Saccharomyces cerevisiae S288C: one gene and its partners. The gene in region 1 interacts genetically with each later gene. Each region holds a gene or a part of one and is shown in the gene's direction. Other genes may lie near its edges. The genes, in order: GRC3, RGT2, FEX2 and PGU1.

The links.
Region 2: mutations in GRC3 (region 1) and RGT2 together harm fitness more than expected from each alone (negative genetic interaction), as found in Saccharomyces cerevisiae (one large-scale study listed by BioGRID).
Region 3: mutations in GRC3 (region 1) and FEX2 together harm fitness more than expected from each alone (negative genetic interaction), as found in Saccharomyces cerevisiae (one large-scale study listed by BioGRID).
Region 4: mutations in GRC3 (region 1) and PGU1 together harm fitness more than expected from each alone (negative genetic interaction), as found in Saccharomyces cerevisiae (one large-scale study listed by BioGRID).

What each region holds. Positions count from the first base shown.
Region 1 is NC_001144.5:66,967-70,983, forward strand, and holds GRC3 (polynucleotide 5'-hydroxyl-kinase), read left to right. Parts: upstream 1-1,613; coding exon 1,614-3,512; downstream 3,513-4,017. Other genes in the region: E3 ubiquitin-protein ligase PRP19, read right to left, coding at 1-1,290; putative AAA family ATPase RIX7, read right to left, coding at 3,667-4,017. UniProt on the Saccharomyces cerevisiae protein: Polynucleotide 5'-kinase involved in rRNA processing. Required for the efficient termination by RNA polymerase I and the processing of the IST2 pre-rRNA internal transcribed spacer localized between the 5.8S and 25S rRNAs.
Region 2 is NC_001136.10:211,464-216,149, forward strand, and holds RGT2 (glucose sensor), read left to right. Parts: upstream 1-1,887; coding exon 1,888-4,179; downstream 4,180-4,686. Other genes in the region: SCM3 (Scm3p), read right to left, coding at 1-583. UniProt on the Saccharomyces cerevisiae protein: Low-affinity high glucose sensor that is part of the sensor/receptor-repressor (SSR) glucose-signaling pathway, which detects extracellular glucose and induces expression of glucose transporters that bring glucose into the cell.
Region 3 is NC_001148.4:12,690-16,167, reverse strand, and holds FEX2 (fluoride transporter), read left to right. Parts: upstream 1-1,812; coding exon 1,813-2,940; downstream 2,941-3,478. Other genes in the region: YPL277C (uncharacterized protein), read left to right, coding at 1-763; YPL278C (uncharacterized protein), read left to right, coding at 813-1,115. UniProt on the Saccharomyces cerevisiae protein: Fluoride channel required for the rapid expulsion of cytoplasmic fluoride.
Region 4 is NC_001142.9:721,156-724,462, forward strand, and holds PGU1 (endo-polygalacturonase), read left to right. Parts: upstream 1-1,659; coding exon 1,660-2,745; downstream 2,746-3,307. Other genes in the region: DAL5 (allantoate permease), read left to right, coding at 1-142.

The sequences.
Region 1 (4,017 bases):
GTCGTCAATGTCATAGGTAACGGTGCCCGTCTTGAATTCTGGGATTGTGTAAGTTGGATACGCTAGCGTGCCGACATCCTTTCTTAGGTCAAAGCAAACCACAGTTTGGTCACACTCTACTACCATCCAGTACCCATTGTCTGCAAATTTAACCTCTTTTATCTTGGCTTCTTCATCTACGGGGAATCTAGAGCTTGCCTGGTCAGGTGATGACAAGTTGTAAACGTCTAATATACCGTCCGGAGAGTAAAGGGCTAATAATAATGAATCCTTATGTAGGACACCGCTGCTGTACTCAACATCTGATTTAGCAGAATGAACAATATACTGGGAATCATCCTCGTAGGATTGAAATCCTATGGTTCCTCTATTATCCGCCCAGATGAAGTACTCTGTGTTGACCTCGTTGTGACCATACATATATATAATCTCATTGGCGGAATCTACCTCTATTTCTCTGAGGACTTTGTTTGTTTTTGAGTCCAATATAGTTATTTGGTTACCTGGATATAGTAGTAGCAAACGATTACAAGGCCCTCTGGAAATAATAGCTGGATGCTCTCCCCCGGTACGGGGATTTGGTGTAGTTATTGTGGTAATCGTTTTCGAATCTTTTAATTGGGTAAAATGTAAAGCACCATCCTCACAGCGACACATGCACACCCATTTATCATAGTACATAGATTTGTTAAGCTCTTTATATGGGAATGTTTTGATGTTACGGGAGTAATTTTGTGCCTGTAATAGCTCCAAATTTTTTAAAATCGGCCATTTGGGTGCTTTGAGCTTGCCCCTCGCTACAAAGTCTCTAGAAGATTGTAACAGCCCTTGTAAAAATTCTTCTCTCGTAATAGCTACCGCTTGCTGTGAGGATTTGGGTAAATCCTTCGAATCTTCGTTTTTTTCCATCAATAGTTGCGCAGCGACCAACTTTGCAGCATCTCTTTCGTACATTACAGTCGACAGTTTTTTCGTTAAACTATCTAGAGTTGATCGTAACTTAAAGTTTTCGAGCATTATAGCATCCCATTCATTCTGTAAACTTGTCAACAGATTCGGAATCGAATAATTCGCTTTTAACGTAGCAGAGTTTGTAGACTCTGTTAGTGAGGCTTGTTGCGCACTAGGTACGATTTCCACTATTTCTTCGATGCTTAAGGGCTCATTTGTTATCGGATCATTCCCCGTATCTTTAACATACTGTTCAAGGAGCGACTTTTCAAAAATAGTCCTGGATTTAGGTGATAGAACTGGCCTTCTAGGAACTTTCCCACTAATAGCACAAAGCATTGTTCCCTAGTTGGCTTTCTTGGCTATGTTTTGGTCTTTAATATTTCTTGGAAAGTTTGCATCTTTCTAAAATTGCCCTTACGAATTTTTCACCGCTGCTACCCGAAAAAGTACGAAATTTATCAACATGAAATTTATTCCTGCCAAGTCATCGAGTGCTCTGCGCCTAAGGCTTAGGTTGCATTTAAGTTGTCTTAATTCACGCTTATAGTGCAGGTAGTATAGGTTCCCCACTCCTGATCTTTCCCTTCTGAAATAAGGAAAGACTGCAGTTTAGTTTGGCAGAGAGAAGAAGATAATCATTTCTATTATATTCTACCGCTATGGTGATAGATTCCAAACAGGATCTACCTCAATATACCAAAGATTCAGGTTCAGAATCGGACTCAGACTCAAGTAATAATTTCATTGTGGAATCTCCGTCAATTCCATCTTCAAAAAGTGCAACCGTAGTTCTCAATAGTGAAGAGTATGAGGACGACGAAGGTGATGACTTGAACGGGCTGGATGCTGAATTGATCGATAATATAACGTATGAAGGAGATGAAGATGAAACTATGTTTGTGGGGTTGAAAGAAAAACAGAAGTTACATTTATCTGGTGTTTTCCGGCTGCAAGTGGTGAAAGGAGGTATTGTCTACAACAATGTACACTATAACGCTTCGAGAGAAATTTTAACCTTCTGGCACCCGTTATCACAGTCCATACCTACTATAGATTTTTCGCACTTTGCAGGCTGGCAAGACACTTTTTTTATGCCGAGAAACAACAGGTTTAAAATTAGAGATGAAGAATTCAAATCATTTCCATGTGTTCTTCGCGTTTTTAATTCTAATCATACGGGCTTGTTAGAAGCAGGTCATTTATATCGGGATGTTAATTATCTATGGAAACCTAAAGAACCTTACTTTCCATTAAACGAGAGAACAACGTATCATTTATTACATGAGTCAGACCGAATTCAATCTTTATCCGTGCCGGGATATTGGTCAACTCCGTTAGAGAAGTTATATTTGAGTCACAAGAACGCTGCGTATGATACAAGAATCATGGTGATTGGTGGTAAAAACTCTGGGAAGTCTACATTCTTGAGGCTTTTATTGGAAAAATTTACGCAAGATATACGAGATTCTACTACGAGCCAGGAAGAATTGGTATACCTGGATTTAGATCCTGGTCAACCTGAATACTCACTACCTGATTCAATATCCCTGAATAAGATTCTTTCCAGCCCTATTTCTCTCGGACAACATCTCTGCCAAGGTTCAAATTTCCAAACTTTGTTACAGTTCTACGCTGGCTCCTCTTCCCCGCAGGACGAGCCCACATCATACCTGAACTGCGCTGATAAACTTATAGACCATTTGGAAGAGCAAGCCTTCTTCGGAACGTCATTGCTTAATCTACCTGGGTGGATAAAAGGATTCGGGATGCAGATTTTAAATCATATAATAAGGAAATATAAGCCCACTCACTTATTGTTTTTGGAAACAGCTAATTCGAAAAGACACCTGGATGAACTAACAATTCCACAGAGTTTTTCCACATCACTACGAGATGCATATGCACCTGAAGTTGTTCGCGTTCCAGCCCATAGTCTGAACCACACCTTATCTTCTAGGTTCCATGCATCACAACTGAGAACATTCAAAATACTGGCACTGTTTCATAAAATAACTCAATTTGATTATGATTTTGCGCCTCTTTTAAAATCTGCACCTTTGCAAATTTCATATGGCAAAGGTAAAAGCGGTATTAAAGGCATTCAATTTCCTATGGAATTCCAGGATCTGAATCCTCAAGATATCAAGTCCGCATTGGAAGGTACTGTCATTGGGATATATACATATTCTGGAGAAGACTCACTAGAGGTGAAATCCTTGAATACCTTTCCCATCCTACAATCGTGTACTTCTTCTTCTAAAAATTTCATAACTCTGGGGCTGATACACTCTATTGACACCTCCCAGCAAATAATGAACATTTACGTGCCACCTTGCCATACCCAGATTTTAGATAAACAACCTGAGGATGCTCAATGGATAATAGTAAGAAATAAGACGGAAACTCCTTTTTGTGACTTTCTTCCATCCCCCCGCACAATTACATGGGATGATAATATACAAATACCGTTCGCAACTTTTGAAAGAAGGAAAAAATTGGAACATGTGTGGAAAGTTCGTAAGAACGTCATGAGACGTGGCCAATTCATGAAAAGATAGAAAGAAAAGGTAATCGTACATTTTTTAATAGTGAAAGATAGAGGATACACAAAAATCATGCAAAGTTTTATATATTTGTTATGTATACTCATATTCCTTCAATATCTAAGTCATACTAACTTCTAGGGACTTTACCAAAATATTATTTATAAATTTATTGTTTCATTTCTTCCGCATCCTTCATCTCCTCCGTTAAACCCATTTTCTTATTTAATCTATCATATTTCAGTCTATCTTTATCGCTCACAGAGGGTTTAATCTTTCTTAATGCACTTCGGAAGTCAGACATGGTCACAATAATTTCTTCGCCAGATACGCCAACCGATAGATCCTCAAATTCCTTGTCTAAGTCATTATCAAGAACAGATTGTATTTCTTCGCTCTGAAAAAACTTCCTTTTTAGAGCCAAGACTGAACTCTCCCTGACTAAAGCAGCCAAGTCAGCGCCTGAAAAATTGTTGCACTTCTCATTTCTGATAATTTCTTCAAAATCAACATCGCTACT
Region 2 (4,686 bases), on another chromosome or scaffold:
CGTTGTCAGCATCCACCTCTGAATCGCTTGCCTCGCTATCGTTAGCCCAAAGAGTATATTCATCATTTTTATCACCATCTTCCTCGTCGCTGATGTCGATAATGTCTCTGAGCACGCTTGTGTATTTTGTTCTTTTATCTTTCGTGCTGTTGTTGGCCGTCAGCGTCTTGATATGCCCATTATCTTCAACTATTTCACCAGTTTTCAGGTCTACGAGGTCTCCTTGTTCTTCAATAGACTCGTATTTGCTTATGATGTTGGACCACACTTTTCTCATGTTTTCGTCTGCTAGTTTGTGGCGCTCCATGACTTCATCATCGGTTAGTTTAGGGATGATGTGGTTTTCCTTGGACATTATATACACATGACCATTTCTTTCAGCAATTGGCCGTGAAATTCCATCGTCCTTTTTGGTCTTCCGTTTTTCGATATTTGGCGGATATACTCGATGAACAGGATTGCAATCGCTATGTTTTCGTATTTTGGACTCACTCTTCTTGCCGGACTCTTTCAATAGTCCTTTTAAGGCACCATGGAGATTTTTCAGGCTTCTTCTTTTAGAAATTTTCTTATTGGTTTTCATCCTTCTGTTAATTTGTAGTGGAGGCGTCGATATGCTGTATCCCACTTTTTGTTTATATATCATCTGATCCATTAGCTGAAAAATCGCGGTACTGAAGCTTTTTTCATGGCGCCCTTGAAACTTTCTCCTTCCGCCTGCGCATTATATAAAATACGTTACAATAGGAAAAGATGACAGTTACTTAAAGTAAAGCTTCACAGCTTCAGACAAAAAAAGTATGAAACTTGTGAAGATGTTTTTATGCTGATCCGGCAGACGGCCATTCCATTATTTAGTTCTGATTTTAGTGGAAAAACTTTCGAAACTTAAAATAATAATAGCCCATTCTTGGACTGAGGTACATTTTCTTCTTATTGGATTTCGTTTATTAGCTGTTTAACATATTTCTGTAGGGTTTTTTTTTTTTTTTTTGTACAGATTAGAAACCATACAGTGTAAACCATTATATAGGTCAATTAATATATTTATAGATCATCCTGTCAATTTTTTTTTATTTTTTTTTGCAAAGCTCCCTTTTTCCTGAAACCAACAACAAAATATAAAAAAAAAATGATAAGCAGGATTTTTTCTTTTAATAATTCCTTAAAATTAACTAACAAGCTGAAGCCCTTACAACAAAGTAAGTCAAACCCAATTCACAAAAAAAAAATCTGTTTTATTTCAGATATGCAGGGTATATACATGGCACAGATAACCTTTTAATGAAAAGTAGCAATTGTGATACTAGCGCCTTTTTCCTTGCAAGAAAAGGGTTCCCTGTTCCTGCATCGTCCATCGGCATAGAGATGTCGCCGCTACCCTATCCAATTCTACCGCATGCCTAACAAAATGATTTCCGATTTTTTCAATCTAACTCCGTCATTTCTTATCTGAGTTTTCCTCCCCGAGATAAATTGAACAAAGAATTTAATCGGCTCATATGTGAAAAAGTGTGATACTTACCGCAATGGGCAAAAATTATTAAAAAAAATCTAATTCCGCGCTTGGCTATTATCTCATTACCGACTCAACGGTGACTACCTGCCGTACACGCTTCCCCTTTGCTTCTTCCTCCACCTCGAAAGTAGAACATATACATGGAACAGACATAAGCTCTTCAGCGTATCTATTTCATAAGTGGAGAGCATCGAACAATAAACCTTTGCCTAATTTCATATAACATCCAGTATTCATTTTTTTTAGTTGACGCTAAGGCATTCGCTTGTGAAATTAAAGAGCAGATCAGGAATAGTATCAATAGTCTAAACCATCAAGTTGCACAGAAACCACTATATATATATGGAAATATCTCGAATATTGCTTGTATGAACGATAGCCAAAACTGCCTACGACAGAGGGAAGAAAATAGTCATCTGAATCCTGGAAATGACTTCGGCCACCACCAGGGTGCAGAATGTACGATAAATCATAACAACATGCCACACCGCAATGCATACACAGAATCTACGAATGACACGGAAGCAAAGTCCATAGTGATGTGCGACGATCCTAACGCATACCAAATTTCCTACACAAATAATGAGCCGGCGGGAGATGGAGCTATAGAAACCACGTCCATTCTACTATCGCAACCGCTGCCGCTGCGATCGAATGTGATGTCTGTCTTGGTAGGCATATTTGTTGCCGTGGGGGGCTTCTTGTTTGGGTATGACACTGGACTTATAAACAGTATCACGGATATGCCGTATGTTAAAACCTACATTGCTCCGAACCATTCATATTTCACCACTAGCCAAATAGCCATACTCGTATCATTCCTCTCCCTAGGAACATTTTTCGGTGCGTTAATCGCTCCCTATATTTCAGATTCATATGGTAGGAAGCCAACAATTATGTTTAGTACCGCTGTTATCTTTTCCATCGGAAACTCATTACAGGTGGCATCCGGTGGCTTGGTGCTATTAATCGTCGGAAGAGTGATCTCAGGTATCGGGATCGGGATAATCTCTGCTGTGGTTCCTCTTTATCAAGCTGAAGCTGCGCAGAAGAACCTTAGAGGTGCCATCATTTCCAGTTATCAGTGGGCTATCACTATTGGGTTACTCGTGTCCAGTGCAGTATCGCAAGGAACTCATTCCAAAAATGGCCCGTCTTCATATAGAATACCAATTGGTTTGCAGTACGTTTGGTCAAGTATTTTAGCTGTGGGCATGATATTCCTTCCAGAGAGTCCAAGATATTACGTCTTGAAGGATGAACTCAATAAAGCTGCAAAATCGTTATCCTTTTTAAGAGGCCTCCCGATCGAAGATCCAAGACTCTTAGAGGAGCTTGTTGAAATAAAAGCCACTTACGATTATGAAGCATCGTTCGGCCCGTCAACACTTTTAGATTGTTTCAAAACAAGTGAAAATAGACCCAAACAGATTTTACGAATATTTACTGGTATCGCCATACAAGCTTTTCAACAGGCATCTGGTATCAATTTTATATTCTACTATGGAGTTAATTTTTTCAACAACACAGGGGTGGACAACTCTTACTTGGTTTCTTTTATCAGCTATGCCGTCAACGTCGCCTTCAGTATACCGGGTATGTATTTAGTGGATCGAATTGGTAGAAGACCAGTCCTTCTTGCTGGAGGTGTCATAATGGCAATAGCAAATTTAGTCATTGCCATCGTTGGTGTTTCCGAGGGAAAAACTGTTGTTGCTAGTAAAATTATGATTGCTTTTATATGCCTTTTCATTGCTGCATTTTCGGCGACATGGGGTGGTGTCGTGTGGGTGGTATCTGCTGAACTGTACCCACTTGGTGTCAGATCGAAATGTACCGCCATATGCGCTGCCGCAAATTGGCTAGTTAATTTCACCTGTGCCCTGATTACACCTTACATTGTTGATGTCGGATCACACACTTCTTCAATGGGGCCCAAAATATTCTTCATTTGGGGCGGCTTAAATGTCGTGGCCGTTATCGTTGTTTATTTCGCTGTTTATGAAACGAGGGGATTGACTTTGGAAGAGATTGACGAGTTATTTAGAAAGGCCCCAAATAGCGTCATTTCTAGCAAATGGAACAAAAAAATAAGGAAAAGGTGCTTAGCCTTTCCCATTTCACAACAAATAGAGATGAAAACTAATATCAAGAACGCTGGAAAGTTGGACAACAACAACAGTCCAATTGTACAGGATGACAGCCACAACATAATCGATGTGGATGGATTCTTGGAGAACCAAATACAGTCCAATGATCATATGATTGCGGCGGATAAAGGAAGTGGCTCGTTAGTAAACATCATCGATACTGCCCCCCTAACATCTACAGAGTTTAAACCCGTGGAACATCCGCCAGTAAATTACGTCGACTTGGGGAATGGTTTGGGTCTGAATACATACAATAGAGGTCCTCCTTCTATCATTTCTGACTCTACTGATGAGTTCTATGAGGAAAATGACTCTTCTTATTACAATAACAACACTGAACGAAATGGAGCTAACAGCGTCAATACATATATGGCTCAACTAATCAATAGCTCATCTACTACAAGCAACGACACATCGTTCTCTCCATCACACAATAGCAATGCAAGAACGTCCTCTAATTGGACGAGTGACCTCGCTAGTAAGCACAGCCAATACACTTCCCCCCAATAAAAACCAATAGCATCTTACGATCGTTCGAGGTCTTATAAACCGTTTTATATAAATTATTCTTATACACGCACTCTTGAGTTTCTTTTAACATTCCAACATGATAGACATAGAAAAGAATTATAGATAACACATAACATTACTCACAAGTAGCCCATGAGTTTGATTTTTCCTCGTTAATTCGGTGTCAAGTGGAATACAAAATGGGTCAACTGATCATAACTATTACCCGGATAATCTACATCATGTGGTACGTTAACGATGTATGGTTTCCTAAATCACCGGGTTCCAGATGCGGGTTGTTGTTGTTCGATCTTGCACCTCCACGTACTCCTTTTGAATAGTACACATATACCCTTACAGGAGATCGGACGTGTGCGATTATTGTTACCTCGTCACCTGTTATCGGTTGAACTGTTTTAGCTCTTTCCATTCCCTTTGTTAATAGTAGTTTAATTCTTCGGAAACTTTCTACGCAGACTCAAGTTGCAATAGGCTAAAGATAAGGCA
Region 3 (3,478 bases), on another chromosome or scaffold:
CTACGCTGCTAGAATATGCAAATGGGGGAAGCCATTCGGGCTTGACGGAATTATCAGGGTAGAGGTTGGCTTTGAGGTCGTTTTGTGTGATTTTTCGGCTGATAACGTCGAACTTGTTTCAATGTTAGAAATGGTCCAGCCTAACCAGTACCTAGGCTTACCAGCACCTACCGTAATATCGAAGGAAGAAGGTTGGCCTCTGGATGAAAATGGAAGCCTAGTTGAAGATCAGCTAACAGATGACCAAAAGGCGATTCTGGAAAGAGAAGATGGTTGGGAGAAGGCTTTTTCTAATTTCAACGCAGTTAAAAGCTTCAATCAGTTGAGAGCGGGTGCAGCGCATGACAACGGGGAGCATCGAATCCATATCGACTATAGGTACCTAGTGAGCGGGATAAACAGGACGTACATTGCTCCTGATCCTAACAACAGAAGATTACTCGATGAAGGAATGACATGGGAAAAGCAATTGGACATGGTAGATGACTTAGAAAAGGCGCTGGAAGTCGGATTTGATGCCACGCAAAGTATGGATTGGCAGTTAGCATTTGATGAGCTTGTCCTTAAATTTGCTCCATTACTAAAATCTGTTAGTAACATACTGAACAGCGATGGTGATATTAATGAGTCAATTGCCATCAATGCAACAGCACTCACATTGAACTTTTGTCTACCAATATGTGAGCCCATACCAGGCCTTAAAAACGGATGCAGACTTTTTGATTTGGTCATCTGCTGTCAGCGTTGTCGGAGAAATTGTTGATGTCATTTATAAAGTGAATGATTTATTGATACCCGAAGTCTACTCTTTTATGACAGATAACACAACTTCCAGCGACTTAATAAAGAATGTCGAAACGGCTCGCTCCACTATCGATGGTTTAATTGAATCTCTAGGGTGGATTGAACTAAATTACCGTTGTGAGAGGCAATGCAATTGGGATGAAGTTTGTTACACTCCTTCCTGGGGCCCATCTCCAATGGGTATGACTGAACCAGGTTCCCACAATGAGGGATTTGGAACCCACTTTGATGAATCTCGACAAAGGTTGGTTATTAACAGTAAACTACAGTGTATCAATATAAATGATTTGATGGTTAATCGTAATCATTAGCGCCTCATGTGAGCAGGCCATTGTGGGACAGTATGAAGGGTATGATTTCTAGATAATCCAATAATAATTATGAAGTTTTTGAGATTTGGGGTGATACACATCTATGAATTACTAAGAGATTTGAGACACAGCGACAGTCATGCCAGCAAGATTTAAGATTTTCTTTATTTAGTGTTTATATACATATCAGATATCTGTTGAGTATTTTCTATTTTACCAAAAAAAAAAGATATGAAATCAAGATAAAACGTCGTATGAAAGACAAGGGAGCTCAGCAGCAATATCATAAAGTAAAGCAACAGCGCTTGGTTCATGTACAATGAACGATCTGAAAATTATTTGGCAGCGGTGCTACGAATACATGTCGATATTACGTTACGATTGTCTAACAGGGGAGGAGAATCGTGCACTTTGATGGGTATATCGAAAAGATGGTGACTCTGCTAGAGTCACTGTCAGTGAGGAGTTGCGATGTATGAAAGATTCACTGACATAAAGTGGCGCGATTCATGTAGCAGTGTAAATCACTTTTGACGCAATGATGGAAGAGATACGGAAGAGATACGGAAAAAATAAAACAAAAAACAACTGAAATAAGTACTAAAGGATTATATTTATTGCCGCCATTATTATTTAGCGTCTGGTGGCTCAAGAATCTGCAGTTATTTAATTATTTAATCGAGCGTGTAATGCTCTGATGATTTTCAATCCGGTCATATCAAATCACAAGTTGAGCCATTATATTCATGTTTTTTGTACATTCACCACGTTCTGCATATTAGGTACTGAAACACGTCAGGCTATAACGGCGCTTTCCACCTACACTCCGGCCTTCGTTACTGCTCCGACCGTTCTCTGGTCTAATTGTTCATCCTGCATGCTAATGGGGATTATGCAATCTTTAAATGCTTACACTTGGATGAAAGATCACCAAGTCTTGTTTTTAGGTGTAACTACTGGGTACTGTGGTGCCCTGTCTTCCTTTTCTAGTATGCTGCTAGAGATGTTCGAACACTCTACAAACTTAACTAACGGTAATATCGCTAACCACACAAAACTGCCGAACAGAGCTTACGGTATAATGGAGTTTTTATCTGTCTTGCTCGTTCATCTTATGGTTTCCATGGGTAGTCTTATTTTCGGTAGGCAACTTGGTAAGGAGGTTATTGTTGCTTATGGATCTAGTTCGTTTTCGAAGCCATATACCCCTCCCTCAGACACTGTAAAGGAAAATGCTGGTGATGTTGATACACAAGAAATGGAAAAAAATATTCTAGAGTTTAAATTCAAAACTCCAGCACCATTTTTTAAGAAATTTTTTGATGTTGTGGATAAACTCGCGTACGCACTAGCTTTTCCATTAATTATTTTGTTTGTGGTGCTGTGTGCGTATTATGAGAACTATTCGAGGGGCAAGTGGACACTACCATGTCTATTTGGAATTTTCGCTGGTTTCCTAAGATATTGGTTGGCAGAAATGTTTAATAAAACAAACAAAAAGTTTCCATTGGGTACTTTCTTGGCAAACGTTTTCGCCACTTTATTGATTGGCATATTTACCATGGTGCAACGTGGTAAAAAACACTTTTCCACGGATATTCCAATTGTGAACTCGTTGAATTCATGCCATATTGTTTCTGCGTTAATATCCGGATTTTGCGGCACTTTGAGTACCATTAGCACGTTTATCAATGAAGGGTATAAGCTATCATTTATTAACATGCTTATTTATTATACTGTTTCGATTGGAATTTCATATTGCTTATTGGTGATAACTCTCGGATCCTATGCTTGGACTAGAGGATTGACTAACCCGATTTGTTAGGATCTTTTCTTCATACCTTTTCCTGCACAATCATCCCACCTTTTTTTTTTTTTAATTCATTTTCAAGATTTTAGACGTTGTATAATACATTTTTACCGACTACTGCGGTTTATTGTAATATTTTGTGAGATTTTATGAATGCGTTCCATCATCTATTTACTACAAAACGATAAATTTCCCCGTTTTCTTTTACTTTTACTTCATTTAATATAATTCATATTTATTTCCTATGTACCAATTAATTACTTCTAAAAAGAACAGAAATAGAAAAAAGTTGTATATAACAAGCCAAAAAAAAGAAAAAAAAAGGAAAAAAAAGAAAACACAGCTTATTTCAAATTGCAATCTGCGTATTTCGTAAGTAACGAATGATCTCACAGCATTGCTTTTTTTTTTTTTATATATATATGTACATTACCTATGTCACATATGACCATGATGAGTACAACACTAAAAACCAAGGCCTACTATTCAATTGTTCTCTATATGATTTCCATTCTAGCAAAATCGAGTGCTACCGACCTGCCGTTTTCTTTAC
Region 4 (3,307 bases), on another chromosome or scaffold:
TATACTGCTCATCGTCAATTTAAGGGAAAACAAGAGACGTGATAAGATAGCTGCCGAGAGAGGGTTCCCTGAAGAAACAGAGAATTTAGAGTTTTCTGATTTGACTGATTTTGAAAATCCAAATTTCAGATACACTTTATGAAATAGTGGTGAGATACACTGACATTATTGTTATCAGAGAAGAATATATAAAACTAAAATACTTAATATCAAAATAAGGAATTTTTTATCAAAGTAGAATTTCTGTAAGCTACATTCTCTTGGTGTAGAAGATTTCTCGACTGATGTAAAGGACAAGTCGACTTGTCCTGCCTCATACATACTTGACGATGAAGAGCAAGATACTGAGCACGTGAATCGAGGAACAGGTAAGGATACCTCGAGAAATGAAAAAAAAAAGTTGATCAGCCGTACTTGAAAATTAAATTTGGCGGTGAGAAAGACAATATCGTAATGAAAATGATTCTGACGACCCTTTGATAGTGGCAATGATCAAAAAGAAAAAAAAAAGATAAGACGGTAGTGTGAAGATGACATATAGCGCTACTCTATACTCGTCCAACTTCGAAAATAATATGTGGTCGTTGGTACGTTCAGATAAGAGAATACATCTCGCGCGTACGCATAATTGTGGTCTAAAAAACCGCTGAAATTTTCTCAATACTGAATAGAATCACGCTACTACGACAAGACTCGGTTACTGTGCCTAAAATAATCCTGTGATAAACGAGTTATGTTAAACGCAGTACAGGGGTTAAAGGGCATTGAGTTTTTGTGAGTGGAAATGCCCCCGTTATAGCTTCCAGTTTAATTACAAATTATCAATTTAAGCAAATATAACTGGAGGATTGGGGAGGCGACTAAAAATGGCTACCACGCTATTAGACATACAACATTGAGTATTTTATGTAATTTTGTTACTGCTAGCACGGCCATGCAATTGGCAACTGAAAGCTATCTGACAACTTAAATGATTCTTAAAACAATGACGACTATAATCTTCTCTAAGAAGTTTCATATCCATCTTCCTCATTATTCAGTTTCTTTTTCCTCTTGAAAGTATCGTAAAGAACAACGTCTTCACATTAGCTATTAGAAGACCATTGAACTACCGGATATGAGTAAGAGTGATCTTGCCGTAGAGATAATAGCTGCACAAAGGCCAAGGATTAGATTAATGGGTGCATTGTACGAAAAAAAATAGTTTACAGTCATTTATTCGCAATAAATCAATTTTTTTTTCAAAAAATATGTAAGTCTGATAAAAAATTCTTCACTGAAGAGAGATGCTTACATTCTAATTCTTGAATAAAAGACTCTCTAACGCTGTGAATTCTCTTTAGCTGTAACGGAAACAGAGAGTTATTCCGTAGTCACTGAATTTTTTTTTTTTGACGCTATTATTTAAAACCTAGGATATCCGTCCCATACAAAACGGCCACGAGTTTCAATCCCAGAATGTACGAGTTATAATTCTCCTAGATGCATGATACTCGTGCATTCGTTTAACAATCATACCAATTTCCCATTTTCGGGATATTAAACATGAACATACTTTTTTACTGTGAGAATGTGGTTTCACAATTATTCCATACAGGTATAAAAACGCACAGAACTTCAAACGGGAAGACTATCTACCCACATTGATGGACAAACGCAATGATTTCTGCTAATTCATTACTTATTTCCACTTTGTGCGCTTTTGCGATCGCAACACCTTTGTCAAAAAGAGATTCCTGTACCCTAACAGGATCTTCTTTGTCTTCACTCTCAACCGTGAAAAAATGTAGCAGCATCGTTATTAAAGACTTAACTGTCCCAGCTGGACAGACTTTAGATTTAACTGGGTTAAGCAGTGGTACTACTGTTACGTTTGAAGGCACAACCACATTTCAGTACAAGGAATGGAGCGGCCCTTTAATTTCAATCTCAGGGTCTAAAATCAGCGTTGTTGGTGCTTCGGGACATACCATTGATGGTCAAGGAGCAAAATGGTGGGATGGCTTAGGTGATAGCGGTAAAGTCAAACCGAAGTTTGTAAAGTTGGCGTTGACGGGAACATCTAAGGTCACCGGATTGAATATTAAAAATGCTCCACACCAAGTCTTCAGCATCAATAAATGTTCAGATTTAACCATCAGCGACATAACAATTGATATCAGAGACGGTGATTCGGCTGGTGGTCATAATACGGATGGGTTTGATGTTGGTAGTTCTAGTAACGTCTTAATTCAAGGATGTACTGTTTATAATCAGGATGACTGTATTGCTGTGAATTCCGGTTCAACTATTAAATTTATGAACAACTACTGCTACAATGGCCATGGTATTTCTGTAGGTTCTGTTGGTGGCCGTTCTGATAATACAGTCAATGGTTTCTGGGCTGAAAATAACCATGTTATCAACTCTGACAACGGGTTGAGAATAAAAACCGTAGAAGGTGCGACAGGCACAGTCACTAATGTCAACTTTATCAGTAATAAAATTAGCGGCATAAAAAGTTATGGTATTGTTATCGAAGGCGATTATTTGAATAGTAAGACTACTGGAACTGCTACAGGTGGCGTTCCCATTTCGAATTTAGTAATGAAGGATATCACCGGGAGCGTGAACTCCACAGCGAAGAGGGTTAAAATTTTGGTGAAAAACGCTACTAACTGGCAATGGTCTGGGGTGTCAATTACCGGTGGTTCTTCCTATTCTGGATGTTCTGGAATCCCATCTGGATCTGGTGCAAGCTGTTAATCCTCTTTTAAAGTACTCATATGACTATACATACCTTCTTTTCTTTTCTTTACTATTCAATACATAACAGAACAAAGATGCAGGAAAATATTGGTATTTGTTCGGCAATTTATGCTGGGTTTTTTTGTAAATTCAGGTCTAATTATTACTGTTGATTTGTATCAAGTTGGTATCTTTTTTGCCATTTAATAATAGAGATACGCTATGCTCATCCGGATAGCAACAATGAGAGCCTAAAAGTCCTAATTGAGAAGAAAATCTCTGTTCAAGACTATAGTTTATGTTTCATTCTGGACCCTTGGGATCGTCTGAAACAGGAAGGTCAATAATTGGTAAAAAAAATGGTAAATGCGACTAAGTACTACAATTGAAACGAATGAGCGCACTTCATCTGCCTACAAAACGCTGCGGCTGAAAAAGTTACATAAAAAACCGTCCTCAATAGCGTTAATCCAGCGTACATGAGAAAGTAATGACAAAGTCTTCGGTAATATCAGTGCATCTACCAATATGACACAATTGTGAAACTTCGCTGACTCAAATAATAGCCCTGTTTTTTTGA